Linked DNA regions of Kluyveromyces lactis. The protein of the gene in region 1 purifies or fractionates together with the protein of each later gene. This does not show direct contact. Links are inferred from orthologs where the notes say so. Each region holds a gene or a part of one and is shown on either strand. Other genes may lie near its edges.

Region 1 (4,625 bases):
GGGTATCAAATTAAATAACAGAAAATTAGTCGCTGCGATCGAGTCAGTGGGACACAGTTACGTAGAAATCTTGGATTTTGCTGCTCGGAATGGTGACAAGACTATCAGAACCCGGACTAGAACAAGAGTCGACCATCAAATATATCGAACGTCACTTTGGTCTTCCACTCTTTAACATTAACTATCAATTTAACTTGCATTACCACATCTGGTATCTCGCCGTATGGAAATATTCTACCATCAAATAAACTCTGTAATACCAATCCTCTGTATCTTTGTTCTCTTCTCTTCTCTTCAATGCCAGCAGACATAAAAAAGTTGTATGATTAATTTATCTACGGCATCACCTATCCCTAAGACATATATAGGAGTTTCAATACTATTTCTACGTGTTACAAACTTTTCAGCCACCCCAGTACTGGTGGATACAGTCGACTACTATACCAGACATATACAGTTCTCAACATTTACCTATCTATGTCTTCTTATCAAGATAGGGTCATCCCTAGGTGTGGAAAATTATGCCAAGGAATTAATCGGGTGTGTTTTGCGATGAGGAAAAAAGTAAGTTGCACATTGAAAAAAATGTCAAATTTACACAATATAAGTACCTCTTTCGATTTTGTCCACCTATTCTTGCAACATTCCAGTGCCTACTCAAGCATAGCGTCTTGGATTGGACTGAATCTTTACCCACTTAAGCACTCCCAAAATACCCCTCCAACACACTGAAATGTCATTGCAGCAAGAAGGATCATCATCGGCGTCATCATCCTCATCGAGAATTAGCCAGAGGAACAAACAAGTTGGGTCTCAGTCTGAAGAAAATTTAACCGTGGAAGCCTTAAGAACACAAGAACTATCAGTAGGTCTGATTGTAAGTGCTTTTGTACTTGTGTTGAGCTGCGGTGTCATTTTCCTACTAGGAGTCAACATCGTGATCCAGTATCGTACCATAAACTGGGGTTATGTACCAAAAGCCATTTTGAAAATGACTTACATATTGTTAAGCGTGGTCTCCATCTTCTATATTAACAAATTCAACCTGTACTTCTTCAGATTGATGAACAACAGAGACACGTCCAATGCCTACGCTAGCATCCCACAACTGGAGCCTGTTCAGATGAAAACAGGCGTGTAAAGAACCAAATACTGACTTTTCCATCCATCTCAGACATCCTCATATAAATATACATATAAGTATATCATCATATGCAGTTAATTAAAGCAAAACCCCAGAAAAAAAAACCGATATAATACGAATTGAATTTCAAAAACCACAGAACGTGTGAACTGTATATCAGGGTGTCAGCTTCATACCGATCTTGTCTTCTGTACATCCTTGGTGCAACTAGCACCTCCGTCCTCTTTATGGATGGACGGATTATAACGGAAACTTCCCAATTAAGTTACATAATGAAACACCAAGTTACCCGGATATGTTCGAACGCGTCAATGCAATATTTAGAAAATGAAAATAAGAAAGGCGTTTATATCTATTTACATTAAGATTTTTCGTGTTAGTTGAAGGATGGGTAGCTTATTCGGTCAGCTTACCATCTACATCAGCTGCAACAAGCCGCTTATAATTGAAGTTGCAGTACAAGTTATCCTAATAAACTTGTGATCATTTTTTGTTTTATTTCGCTGATTTGTAGAGATATTCGTGTTCCAAGATGGGTAGACTTATCGGGTTAGAGCTGCATAATTTCAAGTCGTATAAGGATACGGTGCAAGTTGGTTTTGGTGAGTCTTACTTCACCAGCATCATTGGGCCCAATGGTTCTGGTAAATCGAATCTGATGGATGCCATTTCCTTTGTGTTAGGTGTGAGAAGTAATCAGTTAAGGTCATCGGCGCTTGTAGATTTGATATACAGGGGCAGAATTGAAAATGGCGATCCAGATAACGGCAATGCTAAGAGAATGCACCGATCCGACGCTGATTCGGAAGCTGGTCCAGAGAATGCCACATATTCGGAGGAAGAACCAAGAAGTGCATATGTCAGTTGCGTGTATCAAAAAGATGATCTTGATGAACCAACAAAATTCACAAGAACCATCAATACATCTGGTGATAGCGTTTACAAAATCAACGATAGAGCTGTGAGCTATAAAAAATATAACGAGGAATTAGAATCCGAAAACATCTTGGTCAAGGCGAAAAACTTTTTGGTTTTCCAAGGTGATGTCGAAAGAATCGCTTCTCAGGGACCAGAATCATTGACGCTATTATTGGAGCAGGTTTCTGGATCTATAAACTATAAGAATGATTATGAGAAATTGAAAGAAGAGCATAAGCTGGCTTTAGCTGAATTCACAGACGCTCATAATTCAAGGAAAAAAGTGCAAAACGATTTGAAAAGTTTTAAAGAAGGTGTCCAACGGGATGAGCAATATAGAACGAGTTTAGAAATTAGAGATCAGTTGAAACATAACTTTATTTTATGGGAACTATTCCATATCCTTAAAAGAAGGAAGAAACTGGTAGATTCTCTAACAGTTTCAAAAACTGAAACGACTGCGTTGAAGAACAAGCTTTCAGACGAAGAAAGAATACTGACCAAAATCAAATCCACAACGGCTAAACATGAACTGCAATTGAGTAAGTTGAAAGATACGCTCGTACAGTTAGAAAATGAAAAAACATCGTTACAGTCATCTTTACTACCTGTTGGAAGCGAGAGGTTAGCTACCATCAAGAGAATACATAACTTGGAAAAAAGAATATCCTCATTCAAGAAAGATATGGAAAGGCAACAAGCTTATGTCAAACAATTCGAAAATCAACTGAAGGTAGTTTCTAAAACAAAAAAGTCGTTTGAGAAAGAGTTAGAAAATATTCATGCCAATCTCAATAAATTCAATTTATCTGAAGAAGATTTAAAACAATATGAGCTATTGAAAGAGAAGTATTTAAGTTCTGGAGGCTCTCATATCGAGGAAAAGTTGGCTATCTTAAAAAACGACGAGTTTGAACTAAACGAAGAGAGTGAACTTATTAACAAAAGACTGAAAACAACCAGGGAACGCATAAGTGACGAATTACAGGTCGATGTCGATGCTTTAGAAGCAGATCTCAACGAGGTAACACAAAGGTTGAATGATAAAAACTCGATAGCAGCTGCTAAGTCTAAAGAATGGAAAGGTATTCAAACTAATCTTGAGTCCCTAAAGAATAAGGAATATGAACTGAATTTTAGCTTGAGAGACGTACTTCTGAAAATTGACGATCTTAACGCTGATCAAAGAGAGACCAAGAAGGAAAGAAAACTAAGAGAGAATGTTTCTATGCTTAAGAGATTATATCCCGGTGTGAAAGGATTAGTACACGATCTATGTCATCCGAAAAAAGAGAAGTATGCGATTGCAGTATCAACGATACTTGGTAAAAACTTTGATTCCATTATAGTCGACAGTATTGCTACCGCACACGAATGTATCACGTACCTTAAAAAGCAAAGAGCCGGTTCAGCGTCTTTCATACCTCTTGATACAATCGACGTCAATCCACCATCATTGCCGGTGTCGAACGTACAAGGCTGCCTTTTGACTATTAATGCTATCGAATACGAAGGCTACCTTGAGAAGGCAATGCAATATGTGTGCTCAGATTCTATTATTTGTGATAACCTAGACCTAGCTAAAGAATTAAAGTGGTCAAGAAATGTCAAGGCCAAACTAGTGACATTGAATGGTGCTTTAATACATAAAGCTGGACAAATGACTGGTGGTACGGCACAGAAAAACCAGAATAGATGGAATAAAGATGAATACCAAGGACTGATGGTATTGAAAGATCAAATTACCGAAGAATTGACAGCGCTATCAGACAAATTCAGAGCTGATAACATGAAATCCAGAGAGCTGGAGAATGAAATATCTTTGTTAAATAATGAGATTTCGAGTTTGAGAACTCAGATCACCCAACTTGAAAGAACTTTAAGTGGAAAAAATGTCGAAATCAAGCATAACGAGGATTTGATTACTACAGAATACGAACCTCAGCTTAAATCCTTCACTCAACGTATCGAAGAATTGAAGAGCAAATTAACTAAGTTGGAAAGTGAGAAAGATGTTTTACAAGAACAGATTTTTAGACCTTTCACCGATAAATATGGCTTCTCAATTAAAGACTATGAACAAGGTACTGGCGAAATTATGAGAAAGCACTCCAAGGAGCTTCAACAGTTCCAGAAACAGATTCTCACCATTGAGAACAAATTGGAATTCGAAAAGGACCGTTTGGGAGCTACTGCGGCACGTCATACAAAAGCCTTATCTGACATGGATAAATTGAAAGAGGCTCTGGGTTCATTAGAGAAACAAGAGGACATAATAACGGAAAAGATCAAGAATGCAGACTCAAAAATTTCACAAGAACAACAACTGGTAGCCATTCAACAAAAGGAGCTAGATGAAAAAGTGCACAATCTAATTTCATTTGATAGTAATATTGCAGAAATTCAATCGAGCATGCAAGCCGCAAGACGAAAAGTGGATGAAATCAAAGAAGATATTGAAACACTCGACCTTGAACAATTAGGTATACTGAAGAATTGTAAAGTCTCTAACATAGAGCTACCGCTACTGGATTCGTCGTTAGAAGATATTTCCATTGATGTT
Region 2 (4,367 bases), on another chromosome or scaffold:
TACCATTGAAAATAATGTCCGAAAATTGTCAAGAGCTTTGTCTTAGAATTGATCCCGCTTCATGTGGATTTACTAAAGATGATCATGTTATTATCACCGGGGATTTCGATAATTGGAATCCTGGTCAGTACACCTTGAATTATGATTCAAGCACAGGCTACTTTATTGCCCATTTGCCGTACGATGGCTATAGTGAAACGTTCGTCTGTAAGTTCGTTGTCAACAACGAACATTGGAAAGCTTTGAGCTGTTTCGATAAATATATAGATGATATGGGTCACGAAAACAATTTAATCCATTGCAAGGCTTGGTTGGAGACTGAAGAAATGGTTGCTGATATTGTAATGGAAGATGTGGAATTGGATTTAAAACCTTTTAGATCTTCTATGTCACCTTCAGATCTTCAGATCGATCAGTTAGCAATCACTAGGCCAAGTAGCGAACAAGATTACATACACGTAACTTCAAGAGGTGAATTAAGCTCATCTGAGGACGTGGAATTAGATCCGAGAGTAACACAAGGTACAATTGATGATATTTTGGTAGATGATATTGACGAACAACAATCTCAACAAACTCTACTACAGGCAAGCTACTCTGATCAAAATGCCAAATATCCATCTTCATATAATCCGATACACGGACTCGTCGCAACTTTAAGACGTGCAACCACTTACTGGAAACGTTGATGGTTAATTTTATGCTATTTCTTCTTTACCTATTCTCCTTCTAATTGATTTTTCTTCCTTTCACGCTAATATACACTGCTTTTTGCTCAACTTCTTCTATCCAGTAAAAATCTTCTGAACACATATTCATCAAACTACAATAATTACTATTTAAACCTCGTGCTATTTCTCTTCTTTAATTTATTTAGCCTCTAACTTCTTTTTTTTCTCAGGATGTAATACAGTCTGTCGGTTTAAATCGATTACGACGATTGCTTCAAAACACACTCTCTTCCCATGCTTTGGTAGCCTCAAATGAAAGCATACAAAAGTCATCTCATTTGAATGAAAATTGCTCTTAGATAAAGTTCATGGATGTCTTCGTAAAACAGGTCATTTAACTTTAGATAGAGAAATTGATATAGGTCTGTGATTTAACAATGTAACACTGTTGTTTCACTTCTTAACACAGCTGCCGTTATTAGGCCAAAATATAATACTTACATTTTACATGGATTCGAGTAAAAAAACGCGTCGCGTAAATCTAAAAAACTATATGTATGAAAGTAAAAAAAAAGAGGCGACGAACAACAAATCAAGGAAAAAAACAGCTCTCACTCATAGTACATTAACAACAACAGTCACTTACTAGAACCATTCAGCCTCGTTCCACTGTCTACCTATGCCAGTGAGAAGGTCAACCAGGATAAGGACCAAATCCTCTTATAGTGAACAATCTGGATCAGAATCGGACTCTGAGCACGAAACTATAGGATCCATTGTCACCGACGATCGAATAAATATCGAAAACACGGATAATCAGAAAGAAGAAGAAGCTTTATCACAAGGTTCTAGTAGTTCAGAAGAAGACGATGACGCCAATGATGACGACTATGTTGCCCCTGGCTCCAGAAAAAGACCAAATTCCGGAGGTAGGCGCGTTGCAAGCAACAAGAGAACGAAATTAAAACAAAACGAGAAAGGCCGACCATCTAATAATATATCCAGTGCTGTTTCAAGAAAAGAACAGGAAGCATACATATCATTGCAGAATGAATTCAAACCCACAGAGCTTTTTGAAATTCTAAGCAGCTCCGACGATTTTTCTTGCGAAGAACTTGCCAGTGACTGGTTGGATTCCTATATAGATAACCGAAATGTCAGCTTAGCGAATCTCATAAATTTCTTATTAGATTGTTCTGGATGTTTCACTCATATTGGTGAACACGATGTAGCTAATAATGACTCTTCGAATGAAACAATAGGGGAAATACAAATTATGTTCCATGAGCAAAAAAAACATGAGTTCCATTTATTACTATCGGCAACACACAAGAAGGCAAAGTTCCGTCCTTTGAATGATAATTTTAACATTTTCATGACCACATTAATGGACCTAGCCATTGAGAAAGAGATGATATATGTTGAGAATGAAAAAGAAGAAAGTGACGAGATTGTGATCGAAACAAATCCATTAATTATTGACTTACTTACATGGATACCTTCCATGTCAGTATCAAAAATACGATGTTTGCGATATGTTTCAGCTAAAGCCATCTTCTGTTTCCAAGATTCTCTCGCACGAGCTTCTGCCAGCTTAGAAGCAGAGGTGTTATTTAAACTGAGGAAACAGTTGACACTGGAGAGAAAAAAGAAAAAGCCCAAGTCCAAAACTATGGAGACGCTAGAATCTTCTATTTCTGATGCTGAAGCTACGAAAACTGTGATAGAAAACACTATTGATAACATAATAAAGCTCTGTTTTGTTCATCGTTTCAAAGATGTAGATGAAAATATCAGATCCCTTGCGATATCCTACTTGTTAGATTGGATTGAAAACAATCCAGACTACTTTTTTAAGGTAACCTTCCTCAAATACTTCGGTTGGTTGCTATCTGATAGCAGTAATTCAGTCCGGTTACAAGTTATAAGGTCCCTTCATGACCTAATTAAGTTCTCCAATAAGAGAAACAAAAATACTGTCGATAACGCTGCCCTAAGACAATTTTTCGAAAGATTCAAAGATCGAATGTTAGAAATAGCTGGCAGAGACATCGATATTCAAGTAAGATTAACCTCAGTTCAAGTACTTTCGTCGATTAATGGGTTGGGTTATCTGGATGACCATGAAATAATAGACATCATTAGCTTGATCTTTTTTGATCATGAAGTAAAAGTATCTTCTTCGTCAAGGGACGTTAAATTCTTGAACGAGGTTACCAAATTCTTGGCAAACATTGTTTCTGAAAAAACGGAAGAGTTTCTAATAAACAATGAAAGGTTTAAGGTTCCGGTAATTTCGGTAACGGAAGAGCAGTTTGTTAAGGTGGGTGTGTTAATGAGATTATTACACAATTCATTGTTAAATCATATCAACTCCACTAGTAATTTAGAAGGTTATGCAAAAGTACCACCGGACAAAATCAAACTCTTACAGCAAGCGGCGGAATTTTTATCCCCCAAGTTTTACAACTTAATTGAAACTATATCAAAACTACTCTATGAAGAGGGAAATTTCGATGGCAGCACAATTCATGCTGATGCAGATGATTTTTCCAATGATCTGGGTGATATCAAATTGTTCCTACCAGAAACTGATAACAATGTCCTATTTTATGCCACTGTGTTGGGCGGCTTATGCACAGGCGGCATACAGTACAACAAAGGCCAGGACAGACAAGCCGTGACACAGTTAATTCTTCCAGAGTTAGAAGATCTTTTCAAGAAAATGAATCTTGATTCTGATCAGATATATACTCAACTACTAAATGTAATACAGCTATTAAACACAGAAGAATGGAATTCCAGTGAATCAAAGGATGTCATTTTTAATATCAATAAAACAATAACAAAACGATTTGAAAGCTCTCCAGTGGTTTTGAGCAACGCAAATGCCATTACTAAAACCTATAAGAGTTTAATTCCATATTTGGCATCCCTTCAAATACCAGAGGTAACTGGTTATTGGAAGTCATGTCTGATTAACGTGACATTATCATTCAAGAAGTTTATGGAATCATTTGACATAAAATCTGATAATTCAATAACAACATTATATCTGCAATATGTTAACAAACTTGTAATTTTGGGTAAGGAGTTCGCAATTGAAATTTCAGAAACGCTTTTGGATGACATTGTTGAAAAATTCTTGAAGCCGTTGAGTGAATTACTACCAAAGATTGATTCGGATGCCATATCTGTCCTAGATTTTAAGCTTTTCACCTCAATAGTTACTTGGAATTTAGCAACTTGGAGAGATGTTATCAAAAATAATGAAGAACCTATAGCTGTTTCACATACTACGCTGAATCAAATTAGAACGGTATTAGTCGAATTGCTGAATCTTTCTTCAAAGATCGATTCTAACCCTGAAATACAACACGACAAGAAATTCCATGTGCTTCATGTAATACTCTCTCCATTGTTAGATATTATCATTGCATTCAAAATGTTTGAGCTCGATTTGTCAGAAAAGGATTCCGATTGGATAAGGGCGTTAAGGCAAGAATATTCAGTTATCTCTAACGAAGATCTAACTGGTATTTGCCACAAAGTTTTCCTCTACCTTGAGAGTTGTCTTGGAAAATTTTTGGGAATAACTCTAGATCGAGTGGCTGATGAAGATGTAAATTATGGCGCTGTCAACTTAGTCGATGTTGATGGAGATCCAGAGAAGGAGCTTTGTATCTATACCATTAA

Evidence for each region.
Region 2: the proteins of SMC1 (region 1) and IRR1 purify together in Saccharomyces cerevisiae (affinity purification with mass spectrometry; 6 studies listed by BioGRID, with this or other methods). This does not show direct contact. The link is inferred for Kluyveromyces lactis from reciprocal best matches to the Saccharomyces cerevisiae genes SMC1 and IRR1.

The regions. Positions count from the first base shown.
Region 1 is NC_006040.1:643,534-648,158, reverse strand, and holds the start of SMC1 (cohesin subunit SMC1), read left to right. Parts: upstream 1-1,676; coding exon 1,677-4,625. Other genes in the region: SCF ubiquitin ligase complex subunit CDC4, read left to right, coding at 1-175; KLLA0_D07524g (uncharacterized protein), read left to right, coding at 734-1,141. UniProt on the Saccharomyces cerevisiae protein: Involved in chromosome cohesion during cell cycle and in DNA repair. Central component of cohesin complex. The cohesin complex is required for the cohesion of sister chromatids after DNA replication.
Region 2 is NC_006042.1:2,572,704-2,577,070, reverse strand, and holds the start of IRR1 (cohesin subunit IRR1), read left to right. Parts: upstream 1-1,350; coding exon 1,351-4,367. Other genes in the region: ATG45 (Atg45p), read left to right, coding at 15-689. UniProt on the Saccharomyces cerevisiae protein: Component of cohesin complex, a complex required for the cohesion of sister chromatids after DNA replication. The cohesin complex apparently forms a large proteinaceous ring within which sister chromatids can be trapped.